Oreochromis niloticus: one gene and its partner. The protein of the gene in region 1 purifies or fractionates together with the protein of each later gene. This does not show direct contact. Links are inferred from orthologs where the notes say so. Each region holds a gene or a part of one and is shown on either strand. Other genes may lie near its edges.

Region 1 (7,347 bases):
AAAACTGATTGTTTCTTTTTTTTTTTCTTTTTTTTTAAAGTAGTAAGCATGAGAGGTTTTTCTATGAGGAAGTGCTACCTGAGTTGACGGCTTTCTCGTGAGGCATTTCGTAGAGGAAGCTTTTCTTGTCCTTGATGTTCCTCAAGTCCCAGAGCTTTACTGTGTGGTCAACTGAGGCCGTCACCAGCAACCAGTCGCATCGGGAGTTGAACTCTGCGTGGGTCACTTTGGCTTTGTGCAATTTGTCACTGAAAATCTGAAACATTAAAACAGAGCAAATCAATTAACATTAAATTGCCACAGAGGAGGTTTTGGATGTAGCAAAGGAAGACTTGCACAATAGGAGTGGTATGGAAGCAGATGATTGGCTTGGGCGACCCCTAAAGGGAAGGGCCGAAAGAAAAAGTGCTCTGTGTTAAATAAGAACTATAACTGATCCTTTAATTTATAAAAAAAACAGTGGAAGTCCTCATTAAGAAAGAGGCACACACCTTTTGGCCATCCAAACCCAGAAGTAAAAGCTGCCCCGCATTGTCTCCTGTCACGAGCATCTGCCGGCTTACAGACACGTCAACGCAGCAGTACCAAAAACTATGAAAGAAAAGAGCTACATATAAGAACATACAAAATAATGTATTCCATAAATCATAGCTTTAATTCAAAATAGGATGTAATATACTATGTGACACTTGAACAAGAGATAACATTATATACGCACAATGCTCTCAGCTACCTGTGTTTTCTCATTTACCTCTACTGATGTCTACCCATGCAGATAGTCATGCTTTTTGAAATCTGCCTACAAAGGGATTGAGTCTGACACTGGAAACTATGGAGATGAATTAAACTTCATTTATTTTTTTTAATGAATTAAAGAGAATGGTTTTTGCAGGACATGACCCAGTTACTCTTCACCTGAATCTACAGATTGTAGAAGCAGTCTCTACTGAAGTAATGTAGAACCATTTTTCCACAATCGTGACAGTAGTTAAATTTGGAGCATGGTGTCTCTTCTCTTTGGTCCTAGTCTTTTAAAGGGAAGAAGAAAGGTGGAGGTGTGCGCTCTAAGACGGGAACATGGGCAAAGGAAGAACACACTGAAATACTGGTGAAGATCTGGATCACCTTCTATTAGATGGCCTGTTATGGGCCTTGGTCGAGGATGCGCCCTCCAGTGTCCTACTAGATTTCAAATAGCATTCATTTTTTGTATTATAGCCCTGACAAATTTTATTTCATAAAATAGGAATAGAAATACGAAACCTTTTTAATGCTATTAAAACAATGTGGCAGCAGGAGTCCTACAGACACAGTAGAGGGAAATGAAAAAACTTTCCATTTTTCATAATGCCGAGCATCAGTCTTCTTTGGGAGTTTCTCACCAAACATTGTGGTGATCGTGGCCGCAGTCTTGAGTTCTGGACAAAACGGTGGGTGCGCGGCCCTCAAAACTCTGTGCGGTCAGTGTGCCCTCGCCAGAGGCCACATAGACTCTAGAAAGGTCCGTGGGGCAAAACTTCATCCCTCCGATAAAGTCTCCTGCTCCGTTCTACACACACAAATACAAATGTAGGCCTTTCACCAGGCAGCAGTTATGACTACAACTACCACACAGATGTTCACACCAGCACCCAACAAGTTCCCTTGAGAGATCTCTGAACTCTCTGTAAGAAGACTGATGCTAGACTAACCCCTAACGCTTTTTTATTTTAGTGCACAGAAGAAAAAAAAGTGGACACTCCAGTCTTACTTCAGTGTTTCTGTGCTGGCAAACACTGTTAGCGTTGTCCCACTGAAATCCCGAAGTGCTGTCGTACCCCCCATAGATGAGGTGAACAGCTGAGTGGGATTTAAGTGGTTAAACTTCATGTCTGTCACTGAGTCTCCAGCCCCCATCTAACCAGAGAGCCAACAACAGTGTTTCATTAAGTACAACTACATCGCACCGCTCTGAAATTCACCACAGCCTGAAGAAGCATCTGACCTCTGTTAAAATCAGTTTGCCGAATGTCTTTTTGATCAATCGAAAGAACAAATCAAAACCATTAAACAGGAACTCACCCCTTGAATAAAGGTCTTCTTGGCAGGCGCCTCAAAGTCCCACAGATAAATGTCTCCACCCTTGGACCCCACAGCCAGAGTAGTAGGATGTGTCGGATGCCACTCAAGACAGGTGATCCTGCGGTCGAAGGGGCTGCTGCCACCGTGGAAATGATAGGATGACAGAGAGCGAACGAAAGGTTCCTGGAGACACTGAGGAGACAAAAGAGCTAGATTCACACCTGCACTGAATAAATCCAGTAAGAGGAAACGAGAGGTAACAGATGGACTATGACTTGTGAACTTACACATGTCCCTGGATTAGATTTTTTTTTTTTTTTTTTTTTTAATTACTATTGGAACAGTGTGTGAGTATTTTGGGCAGCACTGGGGCCAGCACCACATTAGGCTCTCTTACCTGTCTCATCTGTGAGTGCAAACTCTGGCCCAGAGTGCTTTTGTAGATATAGTGCAGTATGCTTCCGTCCCAACCTCTCTTCTGAACTCCTGCAGACTTGAGAGCAGTCCCTAGAAGACACACGAACCCATTCAAGTGTCACAAAGACAGTGCTGTCACTGGACTGACGGTGTTTTCAGAGCCTCATACCTGATTTTGACGTTTCGCCATTTTTTTTGTCTCGTAGTTTTCTGGAGAGAGTTGGACTGGAGACCCCCTCAGGTGTTTTCTTCACTTTATTCTTTGATCCAGCTGCGGCTGACTTCGTGGGCTTGCTTTTCATTTCTTCCTTGTAAACACACACACAAAGCAACAGTTACTCGTCACAAAGCGGACGATTGTGCACCTGTCTGCACCTCTAATGTTCATATTGCTGCTTACCTGCGATGTTCAGTGCTTTAACGCTGCAGTTTAACAGCAAGAACGTCTCTGTTTGCATAACACGACAGTACACGTGACTATGTGCTGAAAAATGTCTGTTTTGTAACTTGTGTCTGTTAAAGCTGGTGAACGGTGGGTGGCACTGTAGATCCACCATGAAAACTCAATGTGCACCATGTTTGGAGTTCAAACAACTCAAACTGCAAAGTAAGGTAACGGCAACGAAATGCTCACAGAAGATTGCGATAAATAAATAAAAAATGTCACGTTATGTCAATGTCATGTTAAATTATTAAACTAAATAATTTTCATAAAGTATTTAAGAATTGTGTAAAACAAAGAAAGGATTTACATTTCTCTGGTAGCAGACATCAAGGACTATTTATGAAGATGAAGAATGAAAGTGGCTGAAACAAGTTTGTATATTATATTTTACTGCATTTGCCAACTTTTTTTTTTTTTTTTTTTTTTTTGAGGCGTAAGAGGCTCGGAAGTAAAGGCGGAAACACGTGCTTGCCGTTGCCAGATCCCATTGGTTGCTTCGGGTCCGTTTTGAAAAAGTCGCTGATTTGAGGCTTTGAGGCGGAGGGAAGATTCAAAACTAGATAAACAGAAACGGTGAAACCAGCACGGGCACCACGCTACGATGACGAGACATCTGTAAGTACATGTTTATGTTCTATATGTCGCTGGTAGGCTGTATTGTTTATGCGTTTTACACTATCACAAAATGGCGAACTTAAGTTTAAGGAGTTACGAGCGGACGTTGACTCTCTGCTTTACCGTTAGCAGGGGGCTAATTAGCCGTCTAGCAAGTGGCTTTGTTAAGCCATCACATAGTCATTAATGGCTAACGCTTACGCTTCTGTTTGAATTGTGAATGACTTTGTATTTATTTACTTTTACAGGAAGGGTAAAACCCCCCGCAGGCCTCCTCCAAAAAAACCCTCCAGCAACCAGACGGACCCAGTTGGGGTGAGTGTCCCTGAATTCTTAAAGGTCAACTCGGCAAACAGTACAAATGTGAATCTCATACATTCCAGTGGGTGGAAGAGAAAACATTCCAGTGAGGGAGTGTTTGAACCTAGAGTGGAGTAATTTACTGACAGAGTGAAAATTCTTCTGGACACTTTCTCGTCAACCTGACTGTGAGCCCACAGTTTCGCTCTACAGCCATCAGTTTTCTTCCTCAAAGGCAACAGATTTAGACTTTTTGATCTGGAAGAGTTTTATTGAGAGGCGTGCCACCTGACTGCCATCTAACTGAGGTTTTAAACTTGAAGATAGCAGGTTTTACTGCTATAATGTATGGTTTGGAGACATTGGCACTGACAAAAAATATGGGAGGCAGTGCTGGAGTTGGCACTTGGCAGAGTTATAGATGTTAAGATTTTCATTGAGAGTGACCAGAATGGCCAAGAATAGAAATGAGTACATCAGACTGACAGCTCAGGTTGAGCTGTTTGGAGGCAAGGAGAAGATCCATGGATGAAATGAATGAAGACATGCAGAAGATGTGAGGTGTGACATAGTTGATGCTGGGTGATGACAGGGTGAGATGGAGGTAGATGATCTGCTGTGGTGATCCCTAAAGTGAGTAACAGAAAGAAGAAGTAATAAAAGTTTCGATTGCTATCTCGCCTCAGTTTTTTGGGCCAACCAAAATTCCCCCTTTTTTTTTTTTCTTAAAAAAAATAAAAGCAACAGTTTAAAGACCCTGTCTGTGAATAACAAGACTGCTCAGTTTCTTAAGAAAAGTATCTTTAGAAGTTTCACCAAGTGGCAATAAGCTGAAACAAATGGTAGCAATAATCCTACTGCATCCAAGAATGTCAAAGTCTGTTTGGTGTTGTTTTTTTTTTTTTGTTGTTTTTTTTAAATCGTTTATCAGATATTCTTGGACAAATTAAATATCTTTGCAGTAGTAACAAGCTCAAAATGTATGGTTAGAGCTTGTTTTAATGTGTGTCATTTTGTTCTTCAGGTATACTGCCGTGTGCGACCCCTGGGTGCTGAGGATGAGGAATGCTGCATTGAGGTGATCAGCAGTACCACCATCCAGATGCACACCCCGGAGGGCTTCAAAACAAACCGCAATGGAGAATACAAAGAGGTAAGAAATCAGATAAGTTAGGAGTAGTTATTGATTAAAGGTAGAGAGATTGTGTGTTTCTGTTATTGTCAGGAAAAGCTGCATAAAGACTGAAACCAACAATAACTGAATCCAGTCATAAATATTGTTTGCATCGTTGGAAATTTCGTAGCTTACTCCTGTGTCATAAAACTCTACAACTGTTAAAAACAAATTATTCCATGTTTGTTTTTTCCCTCCATTGATAGAGTGCCAGGACTGGGCCTGTTTTGCCCTGATGCTTGTCTGTGTAATTTTACATGAGATGTAGTGATGTTGGACAGGTGGGGGCACACTTCGCAGTGTGTTGTGACTTTTGCTATCACCTCTCATAGCTACAAATGCCTTGAAGACCACCATTTTTTTTTAGTTTTTTTTGTTCCACACCACTAGGTGTGTCTATGGCTGTATCCCAATTCAGGGTCTGCAGCCTTAAAGTACGCAGCCTTAACGACCATGATACTATCCGCTGGAAAAGTTTCATACAGCATTGTTTGACAGAAATGAAGGAGAACATATTTTGTTCATTTGTTTCTACATGAGCTTTGTGTGATTTGATATGTATCTGAGGCTGAGACCACAGGATTGTAAAACATGATTGTTGGCACTCATATCTGTACTGAACAGTCATTTTAAGATTAGCTAGTAAATAACAATTAGCTTATGTTGTTCATGAGACTAAAGTCATCTCACTTTGGTAATGTAAATATAATATGGCCAATATTATAGTTATTATATTAATCATTATTAGTTATTACAGCAGTGAGTTTGAACTGTGTCAAATACTGAGCTTCAGTAAAGATTCGAGTTGCAGTTATTTATATTTCCTATCACCTTAAATCTTCACTCAAAGACAAGCATCTTTGACAGGTTATATATAGATGTATTATATATAAGAGACAAATATTGTTCTTTCAGTATGTTGGCATTACTAAATTTGGCTCAGTGCTTACATATATGTATAAAAAGAAAATGTACGAGCTGTGATAACTGTTTCTGATAAAATGAAGAGTAGACTGATATATAAAATATTCCTTTATTGGGTGAGAAAATCAGACCATGTCATAACTGCTTTGATATCTATTCTGTATGACTTAGAGCAGGGGTCCCCAATCTCAGTCCACGAGGGCCAGTGTCCCTGCAGGTTTTAGATCTCACCCTGGGTCAACACACCTGAATCACATGATTAGCTCATTACCAGGCCTCTGGAGAACTTCAAGACATGTTGAGGAGGTAATTTATCCATTTAAATCAGCTGTGATGGATCAAGGACACATCTAAAACCTGCAGGGACACCGGCCCTCGTGGACTGAGATTGGGGACCCCTGACTTAGAGCCTTAAACAGGCTGACTTCTGCTAAATGGGTCAAACTGGGCAAAAAGTATACAAACACATAACATCCTTATAGAATATCATGTAACACTATAGATCAACTTACCTCAGAATATATAAAGCATATAAACAATGACAGCAATATGATGCAACAAACACAGCAGTACTACTAATCCAAAATACTCAAAGCTTCATAGAACTGAAACAAACATTTATTTTTAGCTCCATTCTGCTGCTGATACATACTTTAGGTTTCTGAATATTAAACTTGTTTCTGCCTTTCATCGTGTTTAACTTGAAGGCCCTGAGTACTTTCTCCCACACTGAAAACACTGGAATGATAAAATTATTTGAACATTACCTACTAAGACTGATTCAGGACAGACAATTAGTTATTTTAAACTTTTCTAGCAGTCCTTCACAAACAGGGAACAGTCTGTCTATTCTCTCCATCTGTCAGCTGCTGCTGGCTCTTCCTCCTCCTCTTCCTCACACACTGCTGAGTTTGTCCTGGTGGATCATCAGGGGTGCAAAGCCTCACAGATGATGTGCAGCAGTGGGTCCCTCAGTCTGTCCTCTCTCTGGACACTTGCAGTTGTCACACATGGAAATCAAATGTGTGATAAGCTGCAGGATTCAAACACAAGTGTAACTTATAAATACATGTTCATACTTTTATTGCAAAATCAGAGAGAAAGAAAAAGAGAGAGAGTGCAGGACAGACAGGCAGGTGACAGTCTCAGGTGTACACACTGCTACAAAACAGCACAAGAGAAGGAGAAATTAAGTGTTTGTGTTATTACGAGTGCTAAACAAGAAGAGTTCCCAGATGGTCCAGTGGACACGTGTGACTCCTGTGATTAAAGCATCTTTCTTTCAGCTTAACGAGTGAACCGTCAGCTCGTTCAAACACACGTTAAAGTCCGTTTGGCTCGACACCACCGAACAGAGGCAGCAATATAACATAGCTAACATTAACAGTGCAGTGAATCCTGCTTGTGCCGT
Region 2 (7,625 bases), on another chromosome or scaffold:
GTTTGGACCTGTTAACTAGGGTAGACTATTTTATTTAAAGACTACATGAAAATACTCTGCAGGTTAGCACAAAATAAACAGGTCAGTTTGCTGTACTGTGATGGTTTTAAACAGAACAGAACACCAGTCACACACAATAGAACAGTGTGTGACTGGTGTACAGTGACTGTGGTGCGAGTTAGGTTACAATCAAGTTTAGCAGAGATGAATCTGAAATTAAGCTGATGATGTTTACATGATTCATACCAACTTTATACAATCTAGTATAAAGTTAGTATAAACGGTTCTCCATCCCCTACACTGACTGAAACATCTACGTACATGTTGTTGGATTGCGTACAACAAAATTGTCTACATCCACAAAGAGCAGTGAACCTCAGTGCATATCCATATCAGCTGATCACATGCTGTACACTAAGAAAATTCACCTATTGTGACCCACTTTTCCCCACACTGAGTGGCTACAACTGATGTTAGGGTTCCCCACCTGCTGAATCCCACTTTAACCTCCTCCCTACTCCCCTTTTCCCCTTCAGAGGTAAAGTCACCCTCTACAATGTAGACAACAGAAAATATAGATTTTTTTTAAGCTTCCTTCTTTTCCTTCTGATTCAAGCTGAGCATAACTAATATTAAAAATTAGTATTAGTAAAAATGTATTCCCATCTTCTAATATTCTTCTAATATCTAATCTTGTTAAAAAGGACACAATAAGGTAAGATTTGGAGAACATGAGACACCTGCATTCATTTTTGTTAAGTGAAAATAAGCAACCCAACAATTCCTCTCAGTGCATCCTTCTGCCCAAAGACAGTCATGCGTTCAGTGTCATTAAACTCTTACAATTCAGAGATCAAAGACCCATTTTCTCAGTTATTTATAGAAGCCTAGCAGCTCTTAGTTGTGGAACTAAAGCCATACAACATCACATCATTAACAGTGTTTTCTCTTACAGAAATCACAGAGTTATTTTTATAATAGGGTGTTTATCTCATGGTCCTGGATTTTCGTCGTAGGACTCCTTGGGAATTCTTCTGCCTTCAGGGTCTTTTTTTGTTTGGCTTTTTTGTTTTGTACTTGGTTTATTGTCTACATTTTGACTTTAATTTATCAGGACAATTTCTGTTATTATTACTGAGTCTAATTATCCCTCAGGGTTTTGATTTCTTTTTTAACTTATGGTCTTTATATTTTTCCAGTTCTACGTATTAATTATTTTGTTGTGTTCACTATTGTTGTCTGTGTTTTCACCATTTACGTGCTGTTTTTCCTCAACTTGAAATAAAAGGTCGTTTTGTGTTATTTCCGCCTGCCTTTTAGAGCCTGCATTTGGGTCCTCAATCTGCAAGACCTGACAGTTTATGAGGCTCTTAAGATGAGTTTTTTAAAATGTTTTCCCCATGTCAACATTTGATTGAGTCAGAGAGTCTCAATAATGTCTGGAGCTGAATCTTTCACGAATATAAAAAATTAGGAACATCAAAAGTCCTCATGAATTCCACTGATCCGGCACATGGGGATTTCTTCTCAGAGCTGAACACTGAGATACATTTAGAGAGGAGAAGCTAAGTAAATAAAATCTGTTTTTATTATTATTCTTTATATTCTATTCTATGTTATCCACACTTCAGAGAAAGAAGCTGTTCTGATGTCCTTTATGTGGTGGAATGTGATTCATTCATGTGTTTATGGGATTCTCTTTCAGCATTATTAAACTATTAACACCGCTGCTTTGCATTTCTTTGATCCTTTCCTTTGGCCTACACCATAACAGGGATTATGGTCCCTATATACTTTATTCATTTATTGAGGATGTGACAGGAGGGTCAAGGTAGCACATCTGAAAACAGTCTTCTAGGTTTATAATAAGTGGCTGCTGAGAACTGTAGTACTGTGACTGTAATGTAATAGGAAGGTCCAGTCTTATCTCATGGTGAAATTAGCAGAACATTAGATGAGACTTTTCATTCTTGCCAATGAAGATTTCAGAAAGTTACAGAAGGTAATTCAGACACAAATAGATTTTTTTTTAAATTTGTGTGCATTAAAGGAATTTTAAGAGAGCAAAGCATAGATGTAAAAGCAAGTTCAAAGTTGGTAAACAGGTAAGCAGGAGAATGAGAATCAATGTAAGACACAAATTAAATGTCTAACTTAACATCAATTCCTGGAAAGCAATAAATAAGTTCCAGCTCTTCTAAAACTCAATTTCAAGGGTATATCAAACTGCTTTCACATTACAAGATCGCATCGTAGTCATATTTCTACCCTGTATACCTCCAGTAGCTCTTTAAGTCTACCTGAAGCACATCTGGGATACCTCCTGACAATCAGGGACAATGCCAGATATCTGATATGCCTTCCATGAAGTTAAATCAACAAAAAGATTCCTAGAAATGTGATAATCTGTTTGCTGTTTTGATTTTCCACTCCCTCTCGTGTCAGGGTTGGGTCGGGCAGCTGAAAATCTGCCTGTGAGTGGAATCCCGTATTTCTGCTCTTCAGCTGTCATGCCTGTTGCTGACCACACCAACTCTACTCAGCTGCCTGCCCATGAGTTTGTTTGCTAGTGCAAAACAGATCAGTGTCCCCATTCCACACATCCTCCCCAGACCGTCTAACTAAGTAATCTCGCATACTCTCCATAAAACCCCCTGGAACAATTCTGTGGAACATGAAATGGAAATTGGTCCATATGCGTTGTTTTACAAGATTTCTATTATTTCCATAGAGATTAAAAAGAGCTTGTGAAGCTGATAAATTGATTAGTGCATGTTGTGTTCAGCAATGATAAAAACAAATATTTTGGAGGTTGTGACATTAAAAAAGAGTTTTAAAAATCTCAGATTTGTCAGTACAACTAGATTTTTTAAGTAATTCAAAAATGTTGTAATTAAAGTGTGAAAAAGATGTCTGAGGGGTGTTTTTTGTTTGTTTTTACACATTTAGTGTTCCTTAAGATTGCAAAATACCACCCTCAATGCAGATAAAAAAGTCAGAAGTTTGGAGAATGATAAATTTTCTATATCAACAGTAGAATATCTGTCAAAATAAAGAAAACACATGAGAGCTGTGTCTCAGTTGCCAAGCTAATTTTTTAGAGGTGGATGGGATAAAAAGGTATGTGTAGTCACCACCATCAAAGGCAAAGAAAAGATCAAAAGGAATTAAAATAGAGGAATGCCCACCACTGGCGGGAAGATCATTAGTGAATTAAGAGAAAAAAAGTATCTCTCAGCACTGGGAGTGTTTTAAAGAGTGATAGTTTCCCTGGTAGAAGTACCAATAAATCTAAACTTGCACGTATATCTTAACGTTGCCGAACCACAGCATTTAATAATAATGACAAGAACTTTTATATGAATAAAACTCATTAAACTCTAAATTTACTTAAAGAAACAATAGTTACTGCAAATATCTTTAACAACGAGTCAGACCTTCGTCTCAGATTAGCTGGCTCATTTGTTGTACATAGCTTGTAAGATTTTTCCCATTTATAATATATTTAAGCTCATTTGCAAGTATCACATTTTCAAAATCTAGTAAAAAGCTGTCATCATCTTTCTTTCATTGTCCACAAAAATCTTAGTATAGTTATGTGTTTGATGAACACTGTAGGAGTTTTCTCGATTATTTTTAAAGTGTTTTCCTCTTAATCTTTTGACCACACAAAAAGTGCATAAATGTGCTTATTTATTCCTGATATTAGCTTATTACTTACTGTTACAAGATTACACACACAACGCTCCTGTCTCTGCACAAGTGACAACAAGCCAGCAAAACAACACCTGGTTGTAAGCTAACATTATGGCTACTAATGTTAGGCTCCAGTGTTCTAAAAATCACACATATCCCTCTGATAAACAGTTTGATTGCATTGACTCCAGTCTTCCTCTGTGTAACTCAGACATGTTTGTCATACAGCTTTGGGGGAAAATGTATTAGGGCAGCTTTAGGGTGAAATTTGTTGCACTGACAGGTTTTTGCTCGTCACCAATGGCAAATATTTGTTTTTTAGTGAAAAAAAAAATGCTAGTTGTCATTTTTTCAGAATCCCACAGCTCTGAGTCTCCTCCAGCAGTGTCCAGGATCTCCATTTGGAAAAAAATGTGAGGCCATAGCATGTGATTCACATAGACATCAAACCATTCTATGACCCATTCTCATGCACTGTGTAAGGGTCATTGTCAGACTAGAAGAGACAACTTGTGTCATAACAAAACAAATTTGATCAATTAAAAGAACTTTTAATTATTAGGAGTGACCTTTCACATCCAAAGTATATCAGCAAAATTGTATACCCTCAGGATGCTCTCTGGATTTAGGGTTTAGATTTCTTTGATTTGTGAATGCAGACTTCCTTTTGACTTTTCTATTAAAATTATTTTTCTTCTTATATGTTCTCTCTTTTGTTTGGAGTTTATTTATCTATGCTTTATTTATGTTACTATTTTGGTTCAGTTGTATTTCACTGCAGTTTGCCTTACAGCCAGCCGAGGACGCCAGTGAGCACACACCCGACGTCGGACTCGTAATAATACGGCTAAGACACCAAAGAAGAAGAAGAAGCAGAAGTTTCCGGTGCAACAGCTAGGCATCATCATGCCTACTGCTGTGATTATGGAGGAAAATTTTGATAAATTATTAGAGCAGTGTGAAGCCCAAGAGCTCGAGGTAAGGACTTTGTGATCTTAAATATGAACAGGAAGGTCTCAGAGACTTTGTGGCTTTGAAAGCATGATGGGAACGGTGCGGTTTCTACAGATTTTAGGCTAGCGTACTGGCTACAAAACCTAGCCTGTGTGTAGCCTACCTTAAAGCTCTGGGAAATCAACTTATCAAACACGTTAACTCGTAGGCGAAACATTCTCACGTTAAAAATGAGATATAGGCTGTAGCAGCGTGTTCATGTTGGACTGCTCTTTGCTTGATCTTTGCCTTTACCTGCCAGCAGATAGTAGGAAGTTAGCGGTCATAATCTCTCCGTTAAATTGGAACATATCTGCAGGTTATGTGTTTGATTTAAGAACCTTTAAGTCTTACCTGTGTTGACAGTCTGTCTGTCTATCTGCCTGCCTGCATGCAGCTTTCGGACTGACAGTTTATAGTATAAGAATAAGTGAGCGAGACCACTACTGTAATGTTAGCAGGAGCTAAAACTATTAACTGGACGCTTGCTGTTGGCTGGGTGAACATCAGCGACTATTTTTTTTTTATTATGACAATAATAAGACAATAATAATAACCTGTTTTCTCTGAGAAGTAACATTTGTTCAGTTTTCCGCTTGTTTTAGCTCCAATGTTTAATCGCACACCTGCATTTCTTTGTAACAGGCTCCAGGGGGCATTGCAACACCTCAGGTCTACGCTCAGCTGCTGGCGCTCTATTTACTTAATAATGACATGTAAGTCACTGATATCTGATGTCTATGTATTTATGTTAAAAAATACATTTAAATGTATATTTTTGTCTCAGATTGCAGGCAGCTGAACTCAATTTAGTTGATGAGCCCCTTTTTGCTGCCTGTGCCTGTATCTGTATTATGAATGTGTGTTTTCCTAACAGGAATAATGCCAGGTATCTATGGAAGAGGATTCCCCAAGCAATAAAATCGGTAAGCTTGTTAAAACATGTGTAAACACTGCTAAAGAAATAACATTTGAGCATGTAAATGTGAACAGTAAATGCTGTTTACTTTAAAATCCAATGTTGGTTTTATTACATTTTTTAAACCTACTCATACTGTCATGTATACAGTTACTAGACACTTTGTAAGGTACACTTTGCTAGTACTGTATGGACCCTCTTTTGTCTTCAGAGCTGCCTTAATTCTTCGTGCCATAAATTCAACAAGGTGCTGGAAAAATTTCTTAGTGGTTTTAGAGGTTTTGGTCAATGTTGACATGAGGTCATCACACAGTGCAGATTTGTTGGGTGTTTATCGATGACAAATCTCCTGTTCTGCAACTAAAACGCTGTACTTGCTTAAGATATGGTGACTGTGGAGGCCATTGGATTTGCCTTCCTATCAGCTCAAATCAGTGTGACCATTCTCCTCTAAACTCTGTCATCAACAAGAAGTGGCACTCATTTGATATTTTCCTTTTTTCTGAAAATTCAGTGTAAATCCTAGAGATGTGGGGAAAAATCCCAGCAGATCAGAAGTTTCCTAAATACTCAGACCAGCCCATCTGACATCTCCAACCATGTCACGTTCAAAGTGTCTTGTGTTACCTTTCTTCCTCATTCGAATGCTCAATTTGAATAGCATTTTGTTAATGTCATGTGACTGGTTAATTTAATGAGAAAAGACAAACTTGTGGAGTGGAGAAGTCCTTTAATGACTGAGCAGCCAGATTTATCATAGCATGACAAAGGGATGGTACAAGGAGCCAATGGAGAGAGGCTAATATGGAATAAAGATTTCTTTTTCTAGTCTCTGTTTGCTTTGGAGGCTTTTCAGGGAGCTTTCAGAACAATCTGATAATAAGGAATTGTATTCCAGCTCCAGCTTAGAAGTTAGAAATGTATGGTCTGTGTTTTTCATCAGCTTTTTGCCATTGTGGTGCCTGCACCATATTTAATATTAAGGGCAAACATTTTTTACCACCCCGACACAACCAGTTTCATGTTTATAGAAAAGTTGCTCAACTGTACATGTAAGTAACTAAGAACACATGTAATTGGAATTTTTACTTGTGTGACAAAATGATCTTAAGTCCTGGCAGATCAATTTGCCCCACTGGAAAACTTTTTGGACCTGCTAAGACAACCAAGAGCACTATGAAATAAATGGAATTATGGTACTGCCAATCAAGTCATGACTTCTTGCAGAGTCCAAGAAAAGACAATTTAAGGATGATGGAACCATTATGATCCAACAGTCTTACATATATATTGGGGTGTGAATGCTCTTCACAGTAGCATTAAAACCACTGCCTGGTCAAGTGTTGCATTCTGATTGTGTTTGAAATGCTTCTCACTTGTTTCCTGCAGGCAAATCCTGAATTAGCAGCTATTTGGGCAGTGGGCCAGCGTATTTGGCAGAGAGACTTTCCAGGGATCTACACAGCCATTGCTGCTTATCAGTGGTCGGAGAATATTCTTCATGTCATGGAGGCCCTTAGAGGTAACCAAAAAATGTTAAAAACACCAGCTGACTTCTCGTGCATCACATTGACCTGTTAAAAAACTTTTCAGATTAATTATACTTCCACAAATTCTTTATCTAATATATAACTTTGGCTCTGTTGAAACTAGAAACTAAGGCAACATATTCTGTCAGCACGTTTAAGTGAGTTCAGTATTTTAAAAAAGTTTCCTAAATGATTTAGAATAACTGCCAGCAGGGGGCAACAGCTGAACCCAGTCAGGGCTATGATGCAACAAAGCAATGGGAAAATAAACAGAAACCCTCATGGTCATGAAGGGTACATCAGATATCCACAACAGAGTACTTGCATATTAAGAAGGTGGTTGCATACCTACATACTTTCGCCTGTTTTTCACATCACCTTCTCAACTTCAAAGGAATGATTTTCTAGAAACATCAGGTCATAAATTTATATCATCTGATCGTCACAGTTCTAGCTGCATTTGTATCATGTGTCAATTACATTGTGCA

The links. Proteins that work in one complex are often made in the same cells at the same time.
Region 2: the proteins of ddb2 (region 1) and cops8 purify together in Homo sapiens (affinity purification with mass spectrometry; 6 studies listed by BioGRID and IntAct, counting the BioPlex papers as one, with this or other methods). This does not show direct contact. The link is inferred for Oreochromis niloticus from reciprocal best matches to the Homo sapiens genes DDB2 and COPS8.

The regions. Positions count from the first base shown.
Region 1 is NC_031972.2:51,231,770-51,239,116, forward strand, and holds the start of ddb2 (DNA damage-binding protein 2), read right to left. Parts: upstream 3,039-7,347; 5' UTR 3,036-3,038; coding exon 2,879-3,035; intron 2,787-2,878; exon of another isoform or gene 2,783-2,786; coding exon 2,648-2,782; intron 2,569-2,647; coding exon 2,459-2,568; intron 2,254-2,458; coding exon 2,062-2,253; intron 1,897-2,061; coding exon of another isoform or gene 1,751-1,896; intron 1,550-1,750; coding exon 1,383-1,549; intron 592-1,382; coding exon 492-591; intron 257-491; coding exon 79-256; intron 1-78. Other genes in the region: kinesin-like protein KIF23, read left to right, coding at 3,525-3,538, 3,787-3,853, 4,863-4,991.
Region 2 is NC_031987.2:7,710,780-7,718,404, reverse strand, and holds the start of cops8 (COP9 signalosome complex subunit 8), read left to right. Parts: upstream 1-4,522; 5' UTR 4,523-4,602; coding exon 4,603-4,674; intron 4,675-5,334; coding exon 5,335-5,405; intron 5,406-5,566; coding exon 5,567-5,615; intron 5,616-6,997; coding exon 6,998-7,130; intron 7,131-7,625. UniProt on the Homo sapiens protein: Component of the COP9 signalosome complex (CSN), a complex involved in various cellular and developmental processes.